3 linked regions of the Schizosaccharomyces pombe genome follow. The gene in region 3 interacts genetically with the main gene of each other region. Each region holds a gene or a part of one and is shown on either strand. Other genes may lie near its edges.

What was found.
Region 1: mutations in swi3 (region 3) and rad26 impair growth when combined (synthetic growth defect), as found in Schizosaccharomyces pombe (3 studies listed by BioGRID, with this or other methods).
Region 2: mutations in swi3 (region 3) and rik1 impair growth when combined (synthetic growth defect), as found in Schizosaccharomyces pombe (2 studies listed by BioGRID, with this or other methods).

The regions. Positions count from the first base shown.
Region 1 is NC_003424.3:4,447,674-4,455,810, reverse strand, and holds rad26 (ATR checkpoint kinase regulatory subunit Rad26), read right to left. Parts: upstream 5,207-8,137; 5' UTR 4,966-5,206; intron 4,886-4,965; 5' UTR 4,697-4,885; coding exon 3,947-4,696; exon of another isoform or gene 3,892-3,946; coding exon 3,226-3,891; intron 3,171-3,225; coding exon 2,742-3,170; 3' UTR 2,442-2,741; downstream 1-2,441. Other genes in the region: atd1 (aldehyde dehydrogenase), read left to right, coding at 740-2,251; GTPase Ypt2, read left to right, coding at 6,294-6,896.
Region 2 is NC_003421.2:1,465,154-1,474,353, reverse strand, and holds rik1 (CLRC ubiquitin ligase complex WD repeat protein Rik1), read right to left. Parts: upstream 6,473-9,200; 5' UTR 6,181-6,472; coding exon 3,058-6,180; 3' UTR 2,574-3,057; coding exon of another isoform or gene 2,541-2,573; 3' UTR 2,498-2,540; downstream 1-2,497. Other genes in the region: SPOM_SPCC11E10.09C (alpha-amylase-like protein), read left to right, coding at 1,028-1,987, 2,054-2,497, 2,541-2,573; translation initiation factor eIF2B alpha subunit Gcn3, read left to right, coding at 8,348-8,501, 8,559-8,698, 8,754-9,196. UniProt on the Schizosaccharomyces pombe protein: Component of the Clr4 methyltransferase complex (ClrC) which contributes to the establishment of heterochromatin by specifically methylating histone H3 to form H3K9me.
Region 3 is NC_003423.3:3,088,857-3,095,029, reverse strand, and holds swi3 (replication fork protection complex subunit Swi3), read left to right. Parts: upstream 1-3,173; 5' UTR 3,174-3,502; coding exon 3,503-3,669; exon of another isoform or gene 3,670-3,727; coding exon 3,728-4,106; 3' UTR 4,107-4,171; downstream 4,172-6,173. Other genes in the region: zuo1 (zuotin), read left to right, coding at 1-36; ncb2 (transcription corepressor), read left to right, coding at 695-737, 777-1,219; isn1 (IMP 5'-nucleotidase), read right to left, coding at 1,631-1,717, 1,768-2,690, 2,740-2,947; SPOM_SPBC30D10.05C (sepiapterin reductase), read right to left, coding at 4,290-5,033; chaperone protein Mzm1, read right to left, coding at 5,396-5,637, 5,697-5,757; U6 snRNP-associated protein Lsm4, read left to right, coding at 6,137-6,139. UniProt on the Schizosaccharomyces pombe protein: Forms a fork protection complex (FPC) with swi1. FPC coordinates leading and lagging strand synthesis and moves with the replication fork. It is required for programmed fork-pausing which is necessary for mating-type switching.

The sequences.
Region 1 (8,137 bases), on a different chromosome or scaffold from region 3:
TTGAATTAGATCATGTATAGGAAATCATTCGTCCAGGTGTCGGTCTTTTGTGTCACCATTAATCAGTAGGAGTTGGAGCTTTGTTTACTAATCATCGTATAAGTCATATATGATTTTTACTATAAATATTGAATTCGCCCCCCTTTGCAGTTCACTGAAATAAGTAGAACAGCACGGTCTTTTCGTTTCTACAACACGCTTGCTATTCTCTTATTAGTATATTCCTCTATCTATAGTCTTTCCTTCACTTCCTACATCCAAATTGATATAGGTTTCCTTTGTGGTATTATTACTAACAACGACAATTGATTGTTTTAATTCATTGATTTTGTCGTCTTTCGGTTTTTATCACATTTTATAAAAACTGCATCCCCCTCTTCTTAAGAATAATAAGAGGCCATTGTTTATTTACCCCGGTCCTTTTCTGACCATCTAATCTTTTCGTATTAGGTGCTCTTTTACTTATAGTTTGGTTTCGCCCATAACTTTTTGACGACGTTGTTTACTTTGGTTGATATAAAATTATTTTATACAATCGTTAACACCTCATATTTTCCATTTCATTACTGATCTTTTGGTTTTGTCCTGTGTTTGCATTTCAATTCAGCTCTGCCAAATTTATCCCACTACTTCATTTTTTATCTTTGGTTTTTTTTTTTTTCTAGTTAATTTTTTAATTACTCTTACTCATTTACGACAACGACCCCTTTTCTCAATTTTTTAATACAAACTTTTCAAAATGTCTACAAAACTCGTTGATCACGTCGAAATTACCGTTCCTACAGGAAAAACTTACATTCAACCTGTCGGTCTCTTTATCAATAACCAACATGTCGATTCCGTTCACGGTGGTCGTGTGAAGGTTTACTCTCCTTCTACTGAGAAACTTATTTGTGAGGTAGCTGACGCCGACGAAGAGGATGTCGATATCGCCGTGAAAGTTGCTCGTGCCGCTTTCCAGACCGATGCTCCATGGCGCAAGTTTTCCAGCGCTCAACGTGGACGTTGCCTCTCCCGTCTCGCTGACTGTATCGAGCAAAACTTGGAATACCTCGCTTCTATTGAGACTCTTGACAATGGTAAGAGTATCACTTTGGCTAGAGGTGACGTTCAAGCTGCTGCCGATTGTTTCCGTTATTATGGTGGTTGGGCCGATAAGGATTATGGTCAAACCATTGAAACCGACATTAAGCGTTTTGCCTATACTCGTCACGAACCCATTGGTGTATGTGGTCAAATCATCCCCTGGAATTTCCCTTTCTTGATGTGCGCTTGGAAAATTGCTCCTGCCGTCGCTTGTGGTAATACTATTATTTTGAAGACTGCCGAACTCACTCCTCTTTCCGCTCTGTGTCTTACCAAGTTTGTTCCTGAATGTGGCTTCCCTCCAGGTGTCATCAATGTTCTCAGCGGTGATGGTCGCCGTTGTGGTAACGCTATTAGTTCTCACATGGACATTGATAAGGTGGCCTTTACCGGTTCTACCGGTGTCGGTCGTATGGTTATGCGTGCTGCCGCCTCCTCCAACCTGAAGAAGGTCACTCTTGAATTGGGTGGTAAGTCTCCCAATATTGTTTTCAACGATGCCGATTTGGACTCAGCTGCTGTCTGGACTAACTATGGTATCTTTTACAACTCTGGTCAAGTCTGTTGTGCAGGTAGCCGTGTCTACGTGCAAGAGGATGTTTACGATGAGTTCATTAAACGCATGGTTGCCAAGGCCAAGACTTTGAAGGTTGGTGATCCTTTCGCCGAAGATACCTTCCAAGGTGCTCAAGTTAGTAAGCAACAGTATGAACGTATTGTTAGTTATATTGAGAGTGGCATTGCTCATGGTGCCAAATTAGAGATTGGTGGTAAGCGTCATGGTAATCTCGGTTACTTTGTCGAACCTACTATTCTCTCCAACGTTACCGAGGACATGGCTGTCGGTAAGGAGGAAATTTTTGGACCCGTTCTTGCCGTCATTAAATTCAAGACCATCGAGGAGGCCATCCGTCGCGGTAACAACAGTACATATGGTTTAGCTGCTGGTGTACACACTAACAATATTACCAATGCCATCAAGGTCAGCAATGCTCTTGAAGCCGGTACTGTTTGGGTGAATTGTTATAACTTACTTCATCACCAAATTCCCTTTGGTGGTTATAAGGAGAGTGGCATCGGTCGCGAATTGGGCTCTTACGGTCTTACCAATTATACTCAAACAAAAGCTGTTCACATCAACCTGGGAATGGATTCTCCCATTTAAGGAAATCAGACGCAAATATTTTTTGTAAAAAAAATAAAAAAATATGCATTCAATGGATAAAGAATGAAGAAAAACTCTAGTGAAGAGAATTATTGGATTTTTCTCTTTATGTTATGAATGTTTACAGTTTTTCTTGAAACTCTTCTATGACGGATTTTCTTTATTATGAATCAAAACGGTTTTGATATTTGAACTTTCAAATGCATTTTATTGAATTTACATAGTGATGATTCTTTATGTTAGTGGTACTTTAATATATTCATTTTCGTTAATTGCTAGATGATTTTATTTGCAGGTAAATATAGCCGTAAGTTTTACTAAAAGAACGGAATGGGGATGTTTTTGTGGTACGCATTCCTTTGGGGAAACAGATTGATTTGTATTTAATTTGCGAGGATGTGGGTGCGGGACGGGAAAGAACAACACTGAAGAAACAAGTATCATTATTTCATTTGAAAAATTAGGGAAATAGATTCATCTGTTTCATTATCTAAAAATTAGTGTACAACTGCTCCAGCTCTTCGGGAGAGACGCAAACTTCCAACAATTCTGTAGTGAGAAAATACATTTCCTCACCCAAATTGCCAAACGCTTTTTGTTCAGTATCGCCGAATGCGCAGCATGCTATTGCATAAACGAAACGAGGTTGTAACGCATTTTCAGCTAACATAAATTTTGATGATAAATCTTCGGAAGATAAAATGTACAGAAGCCGAACAAGAGATACTAAAATCTCTACGCATTCATTTTGAGGGTACATTGACGAAAGGAGTTGCTGATGATACCAAGTGATGGCTAGTCCGATGCATACTATTAAGGGATTGCATACTTTTAAAATCTCTTTACCAATGTTTCCAGACATTTGTATAAACACGGTAAAAAAGGATATGACAAAGCGATGAAGCGTTATCCATTCATTCTAATTTGTTAGAAATAAGCAATGCAAAGATTATAAGCACAATTCGTAAACGTACCAATTCAGGAAAATTAATCCTTTCCCTAGTAGTAACAACTAAAATATGGGCCATAGTTGTGAAAAGTTGCATGAGTGATTCTTGGGATTTATCATCGGCATTTAACAAGTTAACTGAAGCGCAAAACGAAGGAGTGGTGGAACTAATAATTAAACAAACACCACATTTAATCAAAGAAGGAGCATTTTGCACTCGAATGCAGGATTCGAATAACGACGGATCAACCGCTTTAGTAATGTTTGCAAAGTCATCAGCACTTTCACGTGCTATAGATAAGTATAAATAAAGAAAATCTATTAAAACGTAAAACTTTGAGTCCAAAAAATTGCTTTTTTCGTATTCCTTAAGAAGAAAACCACTTATTAAAGAAACGACATTTTCCTGAAAGATAAAGGTGGATGATTTAGGGTCCAAAATTAATAATGCATTAAACAAAGATGTTATAGCAAAGGAGGCATTATATAATAATTTTTTCATTGAATAATTTAAAATCGACGATGATGTTTGAACGACAGATTGTACATAATTGGAGGAATCCATAGATAGATCGGGACTGTATATTAGAGCTTTCAAGTTATTAAACAAACATTCACCTTCCTCCTCTCCTTCAATTGTTTCTAATGAATGCATACAACCACCAAATACGTATGCTAAAGTTCTAGAAGACTAGAAAAGTAAGAAAAGGGAATAAAATTTAACACGACAGTTTAAAAATACTTACAAAATACAAATCTTCTCTTTTTTGTAGAGAAAGTAAATCTTTCATCAGGCTCAAAGACAAACTTGCATCTGATATAGCAATACTAGAACTCACACTATCCGTTGAAGCATCTTCAGCAGTAGCAACACTTGTTTTGCGCTTCTTTTTAGAAGGGCTGTTTTTTGCAGCATGCTTTGTGCTCTTAGCAAGCTGATCAGAAGAAGATAACAATTTATTGTCACCATCTTCTTCATGGGATTTTTTCATAATCGGAGAATTCTTTACATCTCTTTTCATTTTTTTCATAGTTTCGATAGCATCCTGTGCTTCACGCTCATGAAATAGGGATTTCGTTTTTGCGTATTCAATTTCTTTTTTAAGCTCCTCTAATTTCCGTTGGTATTCATCTTGCTTTTGCTTTATAGAATTATTTAACGATTCTAGGGCGGCATTATTAGCTTCGGATTGTTTTAGAAGGTTAGCACGAAGAATTGCATTTTCTCCCGACTTAATTAAAAGTTCTGTTCGAAGGTCATTAGAGGATAATGAGGCTTGTGAGTTTACGGTAGATTCCCGGACTTTTTGAGAAGAATTGGTGTATGAATTTGGAAGATTTAAATTTTGCTTTTGCTTTTCACTCGGTACAACTACTTGAGAACTTTGAGCTTGAACCTGGGTTTGAGCTTGTTGCTCTAATTCATCTAAATTCACGCCTTCAAATATTTCATCCGAACCCAAACTCTCCAAGTCAAAACTTTCATCAGCCATCATTTTGTTTGTAGCTTTCACTCTCGTTTATGCGTAACAATAGTTGTTTGAAGTGATTCCAAATTGTAATATGGGCCCAATGTTTTTCTTATTCTGTAAAAAAGAATTGAATTCATAATAAATCGTAAATTGTTTCAAATACTTTCAGCAACCTTGGTAACTGTAATTATCGTAATTCAGCAATTGGAAAACCTTAACAGTTAGTAAGCAATATTATGCAGAGAAGATAAGGCCGAAAAACCATATCTCTTTCTAGTATGAATACCACATACAAACGAAACACTAATAGCAGAATATGACTGCAGTCACTAAGGCTGCTTAATCGCGTAACTTCCTGTATGAATAATTGAACCCTTGTAGCAATATGAATTGATTTTGCAGAGCACCAACAGATATGATAAATAAGATAGTCTTTTCCAAAATGCGCAGCTATATAAGATGCTTTAACGATACGTTTAACTGCTATGAGTATTTCTTGTGATCTTTAATTTACTTGTTGAACTTGGCGTATTAGTGCATTTTGGTTAGCAATCGAATAGCCAACTTGAAGTTTTACGAGTTACGTAATCGACAATAAGACCTCAAGTACTGTAAATCACTATTAGCCAAAAATCAAGTATTTGAATTGTCAATAATAAAAAATAAATAAAATAAGTGTATGATGTTTGAATGCTTTTAAAAATAAAACATGAGAAAAATATTTTTTATACTTAAATTAAGGTGTTATGACAAATGGCTTCCATCATTTATTCGAATTAATAAACATAAAAGAATTAAAAAAATGAAAATATTATTAAAAAAGTAAGATCGAATTGTAGTCTAACCAAATATATCAATGGATAAAATGAAATAATTTGTTATTTTGTTTTATTGTAGAAATTATTAATTTCAATCTCTATTGAATACTCATAACCTCGAAAAATTTAAAAGTTATTTATTTTCAGACAGTCCAACTCCTAATCGTAGAACATTTTATAGTTTATGCTGGTTTAAACGGTTTATTGTTTCAACTCGAACAACAATGACAAAGCCTAAAATGATGATCATATGAATTAACGTTAAGTTCATTGTTTCTCCCCCATCCATTTACTATATTATCAAAAATAAAAAGGAAAAATCTAAACCAAAACACTTAAAGCGTTAATTATAAGTATGTTTAGGTCAATGACAGTCATATAAACATTGATTAAATTGATCAATGCAGTACTATATTAGTCATATTACCAGTCATTCAAATCGTATAAATTAATCCATGGCTAGTAAATTGTTTAGTGACAGAGATTTTTCTCTGACATGAAATCTGAATTATTTCTCTTGTGAATATCTTTGTTACTTTCTCAAGAGTGTATGTATGTGCCCTAGAATAGTGACTTCCTTTATCAAAACTTCGAGTTTATTGCCCTTAGGAAACGTACATAAAAAAGTTGAAAGTCATGTTTTTTCAACATAAAAAAACACAAACAAAGACTTAAATAAAACTAGTACCATTTATACAATAACATTACTTGAATTAATAAATTTAAGTGTATTTTTGCGGCATTATCTCAAGGGACTCCAGTAGATTCTACCACTTACCACCTGGCAAAAGCAACACTCCTCCATGTCTACAAAATCCTACGATTATTTAATCAAATTACTTCTCATAGGAGATTCAGGTGTGGGAAAATCATGTCTTCTTCTGAGATTTTCGGAAGACTCGTTTACCCCTTCTTTTATCACAACGATTGGAATTGATTTCAAGATTCGCACGATTGAACTAGATGGAAAACGTATCAAACTCCAAATTTGGGACACTGCTGGCCAGGAACGTTTCCGTACCATTACCACTGCTTATTATCGTGGTGCAATGGGTATTTTATTGTTATACGATGTAACTGATAAAAAATCATTTGATAACGTCCGAACTTGGTTTAGTAACGTTGAACAACATGCTAGTGAAAATGTTTATAAAATCCTTATTGGAAATAAATGTGATTGTGAGGATCAGCGTCAGGTCTCCTTTGAACAGGGACAAGCGTTAGCCGATGAGCTGGGCGTTAAATTTTTAGAAGCTAGTGCGAAGACGAACGTCAATGTAGATGAGGCATTTTTTACCCTTGCCCGGGAAATAAAAAAACAAAAGATTGATGCAGAAAACGAATTTTCCAACCAGGCAAATAACGTTGACCTCGGAAACGATCGTACGGTGAAGAGGTGTTGTTAGGCTCCTTATTATTATCTTGTCACATTTTCTTTTTCGCTAGTTTTTGATATTAGCACCGCCGATACGTATATAGTCGTGAAGTGTGTGGAGAGCTTGAAGGAGTGGAGATTGGCATTGCTTTTTATATCTTGTGTTGGTTATCGTTTCCGGATTGCTACTTTGTTTCCTTACTCTTTTCAACTCTACCCGGTTGGGAAGTTTATAATATTTCTCTATATTGTACACTTTCTCTTACTTTTTAATGCTTTCATAACGTAAAATTTATGCCTAATAGCTTCAATCAACTTTTGATATGCTTTCGAGTTGTTGTGATTAGATCGAGTTTACATTTTGGAATATAATCAATTCCCATGTTTTTTTTTTCAACGTCTCTTTTTTCATTGCAATTTCCTTAACATTTCAAAAAGTAATGCCTTTGCTTTTTCTTGGGGCCATTTTCCAATGTTTCTCGCGAATCCTTTTATCAATTTGCAACGAGCAATCAAGCACCATCTAATTCGTCCTGTTGATCTACCTCATTTATTTTTTACGGCTGCTGCCTATTGTTTTAAATGTTTGGGCCACTGAACCAAGTTTACATTTTTCATCATGTTATACCGATTTGATTAGGTTGTCATCAATCGAAACGTCTTTTAACGCCTATCTTTTACATATTTTAATTGCCTTATCTTCATCTTCATTTAAACGTAAGATGACTACTTACCTTGTTACATTGTAGATTTTATTTTATTTTTATCTTGCAACGAGACCACAACAGAAGCCTTTCCAAGATTACCACTTCAGCATCTTAATCTTTTTAAACAACGTATTACTATATGAAAGTCGATGTACCAGATTATTGCCAAGATTAAAACGATTTCAGCAATGTAGAGTAATTTGGCATACTCATACTCTTGTTTGTTTACGTTTTTGTTAACTACGCAATTGCTAACCAAGATAACGATGTGTTACTTTGCGGTAAGTCTCAACTTGGGATTTTACTATTTTCTTTTCATGACAATTTAACGATATGCAATTATATATATATCGATAGTCAGGTTGGACTTAATGTACAATTACCAGCTGATAGCTGATAATTGAAATATGAAACGCAGGAAATTTGATTCAATTTATAATATTTTCATTTTAGGATATATTAAAAATTACGAATACATTTCCGTTTTGGGTGACAAATATAAAACTTAAGAACAAAAAATGTAGCGAAGCATACCGTAAAATGGAGTAGTGTAGTGAGCAATAGC
Region 2 (9,200 bases), on a different chromosome or scaffold from region 3:
ACACCAGTTCCCGTCCGATCACTGCAGTTAAGCGTCTGAGGGCCTCGTTAGTACTATGGTTGGAGACAACATGGGAATCCGGGGTGCTGTAGGCTTCCTTTTATTCTTTTTGCTTTTTGTTGTATTTGTTTCTAAAGAGGTATAGTCCAGTTATTATTTCTATTCATAGTCTAACTTCCAATGTATGAGGAAAAACATACATAACAATTAACTAGCTTGTTCAAGCTTCCATCATTACGATGGATTGGTGAATTACAGACAGCGTGAAAATGGAAAATGGAGTGCTTCCATTTTCCATTGTCTTTTAACTTAAAAAAATTTTTGAGTTTTCGTCTTCTTTTGACAATAATGCTGTATTTTGAATACATTTTTTCATTTCTGTTATTACCAAGTGAAGAAAAGCATACAGAAAATAACTAAATCAAATATAATGTCAGTTAACAAACTACAAGCGAGTTTAAGAATATTTACGCAGTATAAAACACTGTTTTTCTCTGCTTTACATGCGCATTTGCAGTAGGTTTGAAATGTCAACAAACCCAGCACATACACCTTTTCCAACTACCATCGTTACTATTTACTTAACGATGCATGCCTTATAATGTGTTAACTTGTTTTGTTTAGTACAAGTTGAATGTAAACAAAAGCCGAAAAGCGTTGAAATTAAAAAAAAAAAGCCGCAATCGTCGGAACCGAAAGGCGGAGTATTTAAGACCCTCTGTATTTCAATATTCTTACTATATTTTTGGCTCTTAATAAAAGCAGCCAAAAGACTATAACCTTTAAGTGAGAGTGTCGGTTTTAGCAAACGTCCCTTTTTGAAAAGTAAAACAAATTCTGTACGAATCTCGGATACTTTTTTAAATTTGTACTGAAAGGGAAGATTTCGAGAAGAAGACTCTTTGTTGATCAGTAAGCAAGGCTGAAGAAGCGATCCAGACGAAGGCGTAGCTGAAGGCTTGATTTAAAGCTGCATTGTAAACGAGACAGTTACCAGTGAATGTTGTTTACTTGACGAAAAGGGACTATGAATCTAATCTGCTCCATTCTGCCGAAAAAAGAACCTTCCTACCTTAAATTATGGCGAAAGCAAGTTATATACCAGGTATTAACGGACAGATTTGCTTTGGATGAGGATAATTTTTATGCAAAAGCTAGCGGAAATCTTTACCTTGGGGGTACATGGAAGGGTATTACTCGTAACCTTGATTACATTAAAAGTCTGGGATGTACGGCAATATGGATTAGCCCAATAGTTAAAAACATATCTGAGACTACGGATTGTGGTCAGGCATATCATGGGTATTGGGCACAAGATATGACTCAGTTAAACGAGAATTTTGGGACAGAAGAAGATTTGAAAGAACTAGTCAATGCAATTCATGAGAAAAATATGCTTTGCATGGTTGACATAGTTGTCAACCATATGGGTCATGCCGGAAGCAAACCCGTAAACTTCTTACTTTATCAACCATTTAACTCTGGGAAGTATTATCACAACTGGCAGTTTGTACAAAATTACGATGATCCCCATGAGACAATTACAGGTTGGTTAGGAGATTCACATGTGAACCTACCAGACATTCGAACCGAAAAGAATGAAGTTCGCAAATTTTTTCAAAATTGGGTTTCTGATCTAATTAAACGTTATCAATTTGATGGTATCAGATTGGACACAGCCAAACATGTCGAAAAATCCTTCTTCCCAACATTTATTGAAGCAGCTAATGTATTTACTACAGGAGAAGTTTTTCATGGAGATCCTAAAGTCGTCGGGGATTATCAAAAATATCTCCCTTCGACTTTAAATTTCCCTTTATTTTTTCAATTGCGGGAAACCTTTCTTGACCCCAAACATTCTATGTTTTCATTTTATGATAAGGCCGTACTTGATGTTCGACATTACTTCAAAGATGTTACCGTCTTGTGTAACTTTTTGGAAAATCATGATTTTCCTCGCTTTTTTCATGAAACCAAAGACATCGCCGTAAGTCTATTGAACAATATTTCAATTTAGTACCTGCATTTTTTATATATTTTAACATTTATTTAGCTGGCTCTTAACGCATTAACTGCACTTATTTTCATGGACGGTATTCCAATTATCTATTATGGACAAGAACAGATGTTTGACGGTGGTAGCGATCCTGACAACAGAGAAGGTCTTTGGAAAAGTAAATACAATACTTCCAATCCAATGTTTAGACATCTTTCTTCAATGATACGCACGCGTCAAAATTTGGTTGAGACCTACCCAGAGTTTACATACGTGCTATCTTTTCAACTATACATTGACGATTCAGTTTATGTATTTACTCGTCCAGGAGTCATTATAGCCATAAGCAATGAAGGCTCTACCTCGTCGTTTAAAGTTGAAATAGATTTGAAAGAACACTGGAAAGAAGTGCCTTCAAGTTTTACAGATATTCTTACTCAGAAAACCATCCCCTGTAAAGACCATAAACTGAAGATCAAATCAAAAAGTGGCTTGCCAAAGGTAAGCATTTAGTTCATGTTTTATTCTACTAACAATTTTTAAGATCCTAATTTCCTCTGACCCTAGCTTCCTATAGAGAAATTACACTAGAGTTTCTCCAGTTTAATTACACTCCAAAAATACTTGGCAACACGTGATCGCCAAATGGAGAAAGTTTTTTTTTAATTTTTTAGCTTAAAAAATTCCTTTGAGCTTTTATGCCAGTTGAAGTGCTCAGTTTCTGTCATATGAAATTTAATAGTTTCATTTTAATTATTGAAATCCAGAATATATGTCATCTCGTCTTAGATAGATGAGCGATGCAACAATTATGACAAATATCTTGAATTTCGAAGAAGATTTTACGAAAGAAATTGAGACTGATAACTTTTTAACCAAGCTTTATGTACTTGTATTTATCAGTGCCATGTTGCGACAGCTTGTGACTTATAATTATAAATCAAAAGATTTTTTTTGTATTACTCACAAATGCATAATACAGTCCTAGAACCAAACTTCCAAATTTGCAATGATCCATAAAGTGTAAGATAATAACTCAGAGCAAAAAGGCAATAATACGTTTAACATAAACTTTGTATTTCCTCAAGGAGGGCTTGAACTTTTTGGTAAGAATTGAGTGATTCCCTATGTTCTACACTTCTGCATAATCGGAAAAGTTCTGAAGATGCCCATCTTTTGACATCGATAACCAAGTCTCCATCAATAAACGGGACTGGAGAAATGAGGTCTGCTTCTATACTTTCGTAGTCCATAGATGACAAGTATGAAAATTTTAATTTTCGAATTTTTCTTGTAAGTTCCTCCAGTTCTAGCTCCTTATCTTTTAATGATACTATACTCCCAATAGCACCAATTTCCGTTGCAAAAAGCATTTTTGGCTCTAAAAACGAATTGGTATTTGTTATTGGGAAATTTTGAAATTTGCTAACTTTATCATGCAGATGGTACACACTTTCACAAATGAATCTGTCATTAAAGTTTTTTGCATCTTTGTTATAACGAAGAAGTTTTAGCAAGCCACTATTAGTTGCTATTATATAAACTGTTCCTTCATATAATGCTGCTTTCACAATGTTTTCTCCAAAAAGGTATCTGGCAACGACAATAAACTTTTGGCCATCGAAGTACATAATCGTAAAACGTCCAATACTGTCCGCTATAGCAATCTCGTTACCCTCTACGATGAGTTGTAAAACTATAGAACCTAGTGATATCCTAGAATCTATCATAAGCCTTTCCTCGGTAAGTTTAACGATTGCAACTTGTTGCCCAAATGCAACGATGTATCGATCATTATATACCCCCAGATCTATCACGGCCGCAGATAGTACCATAGACGAAACTACCTTCAAAGACTGAAGCTCCTTTTCAAACTCTAACAAAATTAATCTTCCATTTACCGGCACCAACTTATCTTGTTCTATAATGCTTGTTCCTACAAGTAAAGAACTCTCATTAATCTTCAAAACTTTCTCACAACGTTCATTTTCGGTAAAAGAAAAAACCCTGAACGAATTATCATCATAACTATCGACCAACTCCAAGTGATAATTTTCCTTGTAACTTTCGTAATCTTCATATCTATTCTCGAGTGTTCTAAGCAACAGTTTATTTTGAAAAATAATGGCTTGTAACGGAACATGCTCCAAAAGTACTTTTCTTGGGGTCAATTCTGGCAATGGATTAAGTTGAAGGAATTTCAAGCCCCCTAATGATACAGAAATGAGAAAATCCTTCCCTGAGTTATCACGAAACTGACACACATCATAACTTTGAGGCATACTAAGCGGCATATAACATAGTGCTCCATTAAACCCATATACCATGTGTGGACAGTCATTGTTGCATATGATATAGGTACCAATATTCATCGTAAATCTCCTAAACGATACAGGGGTTGTACCGAAATGTTTTGTTTCAGAGAATACCAGATTATTTTTGAAAAGTACATAAGATTTAAATTCACCACTTCCGCTAGAAACTAAAAGAAGATTTCTGTCAACACCAACTCCTTCTAAAATAATATTTCTGGGCAATGATGGAACGTTGGTTTGAAAGGCGCAGCTAATTGACGAATTATCTGAGAATGTAAGTATCATCACCTGCTTAGACCAAAATCCAACTCCTATTTGAAATTGCGCTGAAAAATCAAGGCAAGAAATTTCACTTTCAAAAACTTTTCGTGCAACTTCTGTATCTTTTTTAAATATTGCCAATGCTGTTCCATTGATAACGATTGCGGAGTATTCTTGATAGCAAGCAGCGTTCGTGATTTTTTCAATATAAACTAAACGAGAGCGCTTTGCAGAATCGTAGATACAAAGAAAAGTAGATGTGACTTGTACAAACTCACCATTCGTCCCTGAAAGCGCAATCGTCCTTTCTTTGGTTGATAGAGATGGGTCTAGCTCTAACTGGAAATCTTCTTTGATATTAAAAGCAACAGTTTCACTAGGAAACCCGAGGAAGAGCTTATGCTCTGGATATGATGGTAGGACCATAGCTCGAAGGATGCCCGAGATTTTCGTCTGCCCTAAAATATCTAATTTCAGAGCATGTTGAAAATAAATTAAAGAAGCGTTTCTTGGTGTTCCTGCGCATACAAGGAAACTTTTTTCAATGTCGTTTTTGAGTACTAGTAAATCATGAATGGGTCCTAAGTTGGGTATTGAGTCAACATCCTTCAAAGTAGACAGGTTAATAAGTTTAGATTCCGAATTTTTGCTTCCGATAAACAAGAGTCCCTCATGGATGGAATTTAGAGAAGTAATAAAGTCGAAAGGTGGGATTGGTAGTCTTTCCATAACCAAGCTCCATTTGTTTTTTCCCAAGATACTCGAATATACTCCGAAAAGATATCCATTAGTATCACAAACAATATAATGCATCTTTTGCCCTTTCAAAGGAGTCCAATGCATATAAGTAGTACAAGGACCATTGATTGTAACAAAATTACCGCGATACATGCAATGAATAAACAAACTCTCAAAAACCAGCAAACCTCTTTTTCCAAAGGGCATGATCATTGACGGTTTAACCCGCTCAAATAGTCTAATCCCCTTTCCCAAACTTTTTGAGCTTAAATCTAAAAGAAAAGCTGTTACATAACAATCTAAGCCATCGCTGTGAAGGACCACAAGAGTTGGGGTACTGGAATCATTGAGAATGCACATATCATATATGAGATGCACTGGAAAAGAAAAAGGAAATCCGCTATCTATAGAACGGCCAGTTTTCAACCGTTCTTCGGCAGAAAGGATTCTAATACATATCATGGAAATTTCGTCAATGCTTAAAAAAATAGCACGCATCCTTAAGTCGACAAGGCAGTAGCTTTTCGCGTTGCGATTCCAAGGAAATGTAACTCGATAGCGAACTGGAGGATGGTCGACGATCACTTTTTGATAATCCTCGTCCCAATAAATCGAAAAATAAGTATCATCATTGAGAACTACAAATAAATAGTCTCTATCTAATCCTGGAGGGCGATATGGGCGTATATGTTTCACCGTAGAAAATAAAGGGATAGAGGTAAAGAATTGTAAGCCATGAACCTCACTACAGAGATAAATATTAATTTTTAAGGCTTGTAATAAAACTAAGCAGTTTTCAGATGATATAAAATGACATGAAGTCGCTGTGTCTACCGCCGTTGCCCAGAAGGAATGAACACATAAAGCCATACACGATGAAATCCATAAACTGATATAATAAAAGGAATAAAGACTTTTTTTAACAAAGAAAAAAATAAAAAAAAGAAGCTTTGAGTTGGTTCAAAAGATTATGACTAGACTTATGTGATTAAAAAACAGTTGAATACAAAAATAAAGAGTGGACGGCCAAGAGCCACAAAAGCCTAGAAAAAGGAATTCAAGATAGAAAAAATATGCTACCAAGTGACAATCTCTATCAAATCCTTACCAAAAAATTTCGATTTTGAATGAAAGTGCAAGACGCCAGTTACAGGCACTCCGCAGGGAGAAGAAACGAGATATGCAGTCTCTATACATTTTGCGCAAGCGAATTTATTGTAAAAGTTGATATGCATTTTTTAATATCAGATACTACACAAAACATTTTCTGATAATCATAAAACATAAGACATTTTCAACTTGCATCTTAACTAAGCCAAATTCTACATCAATGTTATAAATTTTAGCATTAGCCATATTGGGGGAAATCGAAAGCTATTGATATTTTTATAATTGCAAAACGATTTGATAATGTAGAGAAGATATTGGAATATGTTACTCTCATCGATGAGCAGAATTAAAAGCTATGGGAGATAACGACTATTGCTATTGAAAACAAGAACTAGGCACGCAAAGAAATATATACCTTCTTTACTATAGTGCATGGTATTAGAGTTACTTAAAAGATTATTTTAACAACTTGCCGATCACGAGGTGATTCACAGATTTATAGCATAAATGAAAACCTACGGATGTCTAGCAATAAAGTTAGGATTTTACTGAAATTCGAGTCGACAACTAAAACATAATATTTTTGTAGCATCGCTTTGAATGATTGAGCATGTAAATATTTAGATATAATTGAAAGCATAGAAATTATCATAAATGATTTTCTTTAGATGCTGAAAGTAATAGCGTTTTTTCTATACCAGTTTAGTGTTCGCGTCATCCATAAATACCGAAGTAAAATCAAGCTTAATATAAGCGAGATTTACGAAGGTTGGACTAAAGATTAGTTTCTCGTAGAAATGGTCATGAACTTTTGAAAGGTCTCTTAAACATAAAATAGTTTTTTAAAAAACTTTCTATATTACTTTTTACCAAATCCAATTACTGCTTTCATCAGTACTCCTTTTTTTTTAAAATGGAAGCGTTTTGACATATTTCGTTCATGATACGCTCAACTATTAGGAACATAGTAAATTATACTACAAATTCACTATCTATACAATGATAAGTATCGTTGAACGTTACATATTGGAAATCAACAGTCAAGCATTGTTTACTGATCACCGAGGAAGAATTTCATGATTATCCTCAGATGTACTCAGTCAAGAATATGATATTAAAATTATTCTCAATATTTAGCTTTAATTAAATATAAGCTATTTAATAAACCAATTTATATGTAAATACCATTCAAATCACCTACATAAATATCTATAGGAACATATCTGTAGATCAGTATCCAAAACGCCGTATAATGTCAGCTACGCAGTTTGGTATCTGCTTTAACGATACGAAAAACTGGTGAATTTTGCATATGATCCATTATATTATAATAGCCGGGTTATATAAGTAATGACTAAGTACTGGTATTGTACTATTTAGGTTATAATGTCACCTATCACTTATAACTGAACTGCGAAATGAGGTTTAGTTGTATCTCTATCGATTCTATCCAAATAATCTATCTGTTAATATAGTATTATCAATATCAATCTCGACATCGCATCATCTACGTTGCGTATCACTATATGTCACATGTTCTAATTATATATCGTACCATGTATGATACGATATTGAGATTGATCTTAATGATAATCTATTAAGATCTATATTATCTGAATAATATAAATAGAGCTACTGCTGAACCTCGTTCCTCAGTTCAGTTATGAGCTATATTAGTGATAGGTAACATTATAACTCAGTTAATACAATACCTATACTCAGTTGCTACTTATACAACCTGTGTATTGTAATATAATAGATCACAAGGAAAACTCACCGCAGTTCTACGTATCCTTAAATCAGATACCAAATTGCGTAGCTTACAATTTAATACAAAAAGGCATTGCCCGTTATTTGATTTTGTTGGATATCCTTAAAGTATGGAAAAGATGTTGCTACTAAGCAAGAGCGTCTAGCATCTGCGAATATGGTGGAATCGGATTCTTCGGGAATCGTTCGACATTCTCAAGGAGAATTTGACATCGTCCAGGTTTACAAAAAATTTTTGCAAGATGATCCAGAAATCACGATGCCTGTAGCCGCCATTGAGGCTTTAGTCCAGCTTTTGTCGCGCTCTCAAGGTATGTTAATTTGTAGTACTCATGTGAGAAATGAATTTACTGATGTTTTTCTATTAGCCAAGACAATTTCAGAATTTATGGACATTTTACAAAATGGCTCAAATACGCTGAAGGAAGGCGTTCAAAACAACATTTCGCTTTCAGCTGGTTGTGACATTTTCCAACGGTTTGTCACTCGATCACTACACGATGTCGGGGTATGTGTTGATGCAAAGTAGTTTTCTTTTCTTTACTAATTCTCCACGGCTTTAGGATTTTGAGCAATGCAAACGTCACTTGGTAGAAAATGGAAAACTCTTTATTCAGCGTGCTCGTGCTTGTCGACAAAGAATTGCACATTTAGGTTACCCTCTTATTCGAGATGGTAGTGTTATTCTTACCCATGGGTTTTCACGCGGTGTTGCGGCTGTTCTTTTGGCTGCTGCCAAGCGTCACGTTCGTTTCAAAGTTTTTGTCACAGAATCAAGACCTAGCGGCTCAGGCTGTCTAATGACGAGAACATTAAAAAATGCTTGTATTCCTACTTGCATGGTTTTGGATTCCGCTGTAAGCTTTACTATGAACCGTGTAGATTTGGTCTTGGTTGGCGCAGAAGGTGTTGTCGAAAACGGAGGACTCATTAATCAAATCGGTACTTTCCAACTTGCCGTTTTTGCCAAACATGCACATAAGCCCTTTTACGCAGTTGCAGAAAGGTAC
Region 3 (6,173 bases):
ATGTCATCAGCCGACGTTGTTTTCTTTGCTCAGTAAGTTCATAACAAAAAAGGTATTGGGTTTAGCGTGAGTTTAGAAATCAAATTTGGTGCCATCTTTGTTTACCCACTTTCATTTATACATCTTGAAATGTGTGTTTTTTTTGATACCATAGAATAAAATATTTACCATTCCTTTCTTCTATTATTTGCTATGCTCAGTAATGTATTTTAAAGATTTTAGATTCTTTGAAGTTCTGAAACTTCTATCAATATGCTGATCATTCTATGAGAACTTCAGAGTATCGGGTTTAATTAGCCGGAATTGCTCGAAAATAATTCATTAAATTTTTTTTCATTTATTTTGTAGTGCTCTGATACCCTGTCGTAATTTTGGATTTTCAAAGCACAAGAATAAGCCGTAATCAAATCCATGTCTTTTTTAAATTATTCTGCAAGTATAATCGAGTTGTGAAATTGCCGTCTAATATACTTATAAAATCATTTTTGTCATTCTTTGCTGAATAGAACGAGTCTACCAATACTGCATTCCAGTGTACTCTACGAATATCTTCTTGGACGAAAATATATATATGTGTATGTATAACAAAGCATGCAACGAATCTATACTAGTTTGAGTATTACACAAACCTGCATTCTCTAAAATCGTTTTGCATTACTGAAACGAACGAAATTAGGAATAAAAATTTTGCATAATGAATGATGGTTTCGCGGACGATGAATTGTCCCTTCCCAAAGGTAAAAGAATTGCAATCCATATTTACTAATAATGTGTAGCCACCGTTCAGAAAATGGTTTCCGACATACTTCCAGTGGACTTGACTTTTACGAAGGAAGCTAGAGATTTACTGATAGAGTGCTGTGTGGAGTTCATACATCTTGTTTCTAGTGAAGCTAATGAAATATGCGAAAAGGAGGCAAAAAAAACTATAGCCGCTGAACACATTATTAAAGCTTTAGAGAATTTGGAATTCAAGGAATATATTGCTGAAGCTTTGGAAGTGGCGGCAGAGCATAAAGAACAACAAAAGAATCGTGAGAAGAAAAGTAGCAAATTTGAACAATCCGGTGTATCAAGAGATGAGTTATTGAGACAACAAGAAGAGCTATTAAGCCGAGCCCGTGAGCGTTTTAAAAATCAAAATATTGCTCACGATAATCATACGACAACCGCCATTCCTGTTCCTACCGCATCAGAGACCGAAACAAAAGAAAATTGAGCTAGATGTATTTATGGATATTAAAAATCCGGAATTTGTTTAGAATTTGCTTCTATGGCAAATTATCGTTCATGTCTTAAAGTTACTCTGAAAACTAATCAAGTACATACTGTATCTTTCTTTGAGTTATCACTATTTTTGTCTTCATTTATTTAGAGTTTTTATGATGTGAAATTCATGTATTCAGATTTAATGCTATTCCAAATCTTACATTGCATAATGCGCTATTAAAATTAGCAAAGAAATTGATATCAAAAATCAAAGATTAACAATGTATTGAACGATCATATATCTTTTGATGTCAAAACGCTTATATGGGTATTCATTTTATAAGTATAGTATAGCATTGCTGAAGTATAAGAAGAATATTTACGAATGTGTTTGCAGTATAAGATCTCTCCTCTAATTAAATTACTTTTTTAAAAAAGAGAAATAATAATCTAAAAACTCAATCGTCTCGTGGGGGCTGGATACCCAAACAGTGGTAGCAGCAGCTCTCTTTGAATAGGTGGTTAGTAATCTTCAACAAAAGTTTATTTCAAACTTACCGCTTTATAATCATTGTTACCAGCTGACAAGAATTGATCACCAACATGCAGACAGCGAGAAGGATGGGAAATATTAAAAAAATGCTGAAGGCATAAAACACCCAATTTCTTGTCACCAATATCACACCAAATATCATTTCCACCATTGAAAGCAGTAAAAGGAACTGAGAAATTTCGTATCTGCAACGTTGCTTGTGTCTCCAAAACAGCTTCCTCCAGTTGCTCCCTTCTCAGTTTTTGACCAAGGGAAGGTACAAATCCAACTGATCTTTCTTTACGAACTATTTTTGCATCAATGTTAAGTCCTTGAATGCAAGAACGAAGAGTTTCTTCAGCAGTATCCAAAATTTCGAGAATCTCATCATGAGGCCATGTTTTCATCACGGGAAGCATCCATGAGTCAGCATCCACCCATTGTAAACCATGCAGTGGGTCATAAGCAAATAAGTAATTGCTCTCGCCTCCTAATACATGAAGTTTCCGTTTCTGCCCATCCTTCAAGTCGCTGTCTTCGATTGCCTGCAATAATCCTGAAAATCTATCAGTATACTCCTGGCCAGTACGACTGGGATAGCCAGCAGCAGTAAGAATGATGACATAGATCCCCCTCGAAAGTAACTGAATCAAACGGGATATAACAGGATTGTCAGGAAGCAAAGGCTGCCCATCTTCGTACAGAGTTACATCTCCATCAAAACTGACCATATCCAAGCCATTATCCGCAAGGTAATTCAATTGAGCACCTCCTAATATTGCCCTGACATCGTTAAAACTCGGTGCCACAAAGCTTCGTTTAGCTAGACAAAGCTTTGGTTCCAACGCGTACATAGCTTTCACTAATGGCAAAGGTGTCCAAAATATGGTGATCGATGGAACAAGCATCTTTAACTGGCTATAGGATCCACCTTCTGAAACTATTTGAACTATCAATGAGAAAGGTTAGAAAATTAAAAGAATGAAGGGGAAACTTACTATGAGCCTCAATAAGTTTTTCCACATCTCTTAAAATTACAGCGTAACGCTCAAGCGTTTCCTGCTCTTTTTCGCGCGTTACTAGTTTCTGTGAAGGGGTTCCTGCCTGTAAAACAAAAGGAACTGACAACAAACCTTTAATCCATTCAATAAAATCGTCCTTCCGATGTTGCTTTAACGCATACTCAACACGATATCTAGAAGCCATTGCCTAAACCTTTAATGACAAACACTTATTCAAAAAAAGAAATCTACACGAATGCAAGAAATTTGAAGGAAAGTATGTTAATTGAAAGAGAAAGGGTAAAAGTTGCTTTATTATGCTTTCCGAAACGATTCAAAAATGATTACGTTGAGAATTGTTATACTAGTATTAGCAGCGAGCACTATCACTCAAATACGTCTATCACAATTCCAAAAATTAGCTATAATTTATGAGCATTCTTAACAAAATTTTATAAAAGTATATAGTCCAGGTGTAACATGAGCCTTCTGAACTATTCTTCCTCTACACATTTCTAATCCGCGTTAAATAAGGAATTTTCTTTCATTAGTAAATTATAAACCTTTCTTGCTGCGCAGTTAAATTTGAAAGGTTCTATTCGCTTTTCATTAGCAGTAAAGTCAATAGTACATAGAAAAATTGCTAGATTAACAGAACTTTTGAAGCGAAACAGCAAGCAAATCGATATTTATTGCATTCACTAACTCTCTTTTGCGAAACATACAAGCAAATATATATTTTAAAAAAACACCATAAGAAATGTCTACAGCTGCTTCTGATTCAGGTGTTGAAAAACTCGTCGAGGAAAACAAAAGGGAAGAGGTGAAAAAGAATGAAGAAGAAAAAGAATTTGATTTAGGGTTAGAAGAAAATCCAGATTCTGTAAAAAAACCTCGCAAACGGTTGGCAAAATTTGATGAAGAAAGGTAAGAATTTGGTCGGTTTTCGGAAAATAATTATTGACCACTCGTTTTCCCTATTTAGATTGATTTCTGAAAATGGAATTCCAAAATTAAGGAAAATGATGCGCAAAGTTAAGTTAAAAGGAAAGGGTCATGAGGCAAAAGACTTAAAACAACTATTGGGAATGTATCATATATGGACTCATGAGTTATATCCAAGAGCCACGTTTGATGACTCAATATCGTATCTTAAAACTCTAGGAAAACACAGATCCGTCAAGGTTCGACGTCGTGGTTGGATTAATGAAATTGCTGTTGAAAATGGTTCGGACTCTAATGCTTCATTATTTACTGGTCCATCTTCCAATTCATTAGTGAATTTGACGAGCGGAGATCCATATGTTCAAGATACAGCTGATGATGCTTTTGTCGCCCAAGACAACGATACCCAATTAGAATAGTCACCATTAATGAATGATTGAGATGTTGTTGCAGCTTTGTTTATCAATATTAGTAATCATGATCATTTTTTGGGACTATTTTCAGCTACTTTTATTTGATGTAATGTTTAATTTATTCATTTTGTTTTATTTAAACGAACAATTGTAGCCTCTAACTCCGAAATTCAATAAACTATAGAACATCTAGACAAATGATTTCCATTCTACGAATTGACCAGTAAGCTTTGGATTGTTATTCAAGGCTAGAAAAGAAAGAGCTTTGGCGATGTCCTGAGGAGCCACAAGTTGACCGGATGTTTTAAGTTCTTTGAAAAAATTATGAGTATCTCCACCCATGGCTTCTTTATTGGAATCATTACGGATACTAACTTGCATAGGGGTATCAACAACTCCCGGACGTACTGCCACACTCATTATATCAGGCTCCTCGCTGCCAAGGTTCATGACTAGCATGTTGATGGCGGCCTTTGAGCAACAATATGCAGCCCACGCGGGAAAAACACGAACAGCAGCGCCAGAGGATACAATCACAATAGTACCCTTGGTTTTACGCAAATGCGGGATTGCATACTTCACTGTTTCAACCACACTGAAAAAGTTGATATCAAACAACTTACGCCATTCATTGATATCTGCATCAGCGATTTTGGCTATAGGTTCAAGGACACCTGCATTTAGAATAACCGAGTCCAATTTTCCAAACTTTTTAATAGCAGTTTCGATACTAGCTTTTCCAACCTCCGTAACGTCACCCTTCACGTGAACAAATGAGTCAGGATTTTGAATAAGCAAAGTTTCTAGTTCTGGGGTCAAGGACCTACTAACAGCAATAACCTTGGCCTTCTTCTGTAGAGCTTCTGCAGTAGCCAATCCAATACCCTTAGAGGATCCAGTCAACAAAATAACTTTTTCAGCGGTTTCGGCCATAATGCTTTTATAGAAATTTATAGAAATGTAGGGTGTGAATTACTTTAGTGTAAAGCCAGATTGTGGAACTGAGGAAATATGTTAGCTATGCTATGATTTATATCATGATGCCAAGATAACGAGGTTCCGTATAATCACAATAAAGTAACCGATATAATCTTAATTTTGCTTATTTATTCACGAAAGGAATTGTTATATGGTATTAAAAAACGAAAGTAATGAAGTGCAAATACAAAACAAGCTTGCCATTCCCTTTATTTTTGTTAATGGTCAAACATTACTAAAACAGAAAAAATAAATATGAGTATGAAAACAACATACTTTATTGTATTAATAGAGCTTGATGCAGTAATTTCAAAAAATTACCGAGGAAACTTTTTTTCAGTAAATTGTCTGTTTGTATTAATTTCAGTTGTCTTTCGAATTTTCAAAGAATAGGTATCGTTGGATTGCTTTTCAGCTTGAACGACGTTCCTTCTAAGGATTTCCGCAACAGCATTACCATTTTGGATTTCTTTTTTTGCTTCTTCTGGAGAACAGCACCGATGATTGTGAAAACCAGTTCTGATTTTATCCCTTGCAGCTGCGAGAATCATTGGGTCCCCTAAGTATCATCTGTGAATAAAAAAAAACATACTTGTTGATAGAGGTTAACCCACTTACCTTCAAAAACCGAATTGGATGCTCGCCAAAGATTACGAAAGCATTGTTTAGCAGCTGACATTACTAACGTTCTAAATTCTTTAAAAAATATTTTTAAAAACAAGAAAAAACGGTCAAAAGAACTAGAATTGGTACTGAGGGACTTTAGAAAAGGGATCGATATGTTAATGATATAATTCTTATTCTCTTGTTTAAAGTCAACTCAGGAAAAACTCTGACAAGAGAAAAAAAGAAGATACTTCAACCAAAATTATTGTTATGGCGATTACACGTTATTTATAAAGAAATGTCAGCAATGCACATGGTTTTTAGTGACTCTCACAATCGTGAACTCTGCGACTTATAACATTACAGGTTACAATGTTACTTCTTCTAATCCTCTAAAACAGAATGATAACCTACTACTTGGAAAGACCTAAGTTACCCATATACTGCAAAAAATGGTAAATTCTGTTTATTAATTCACGCTAACATCCT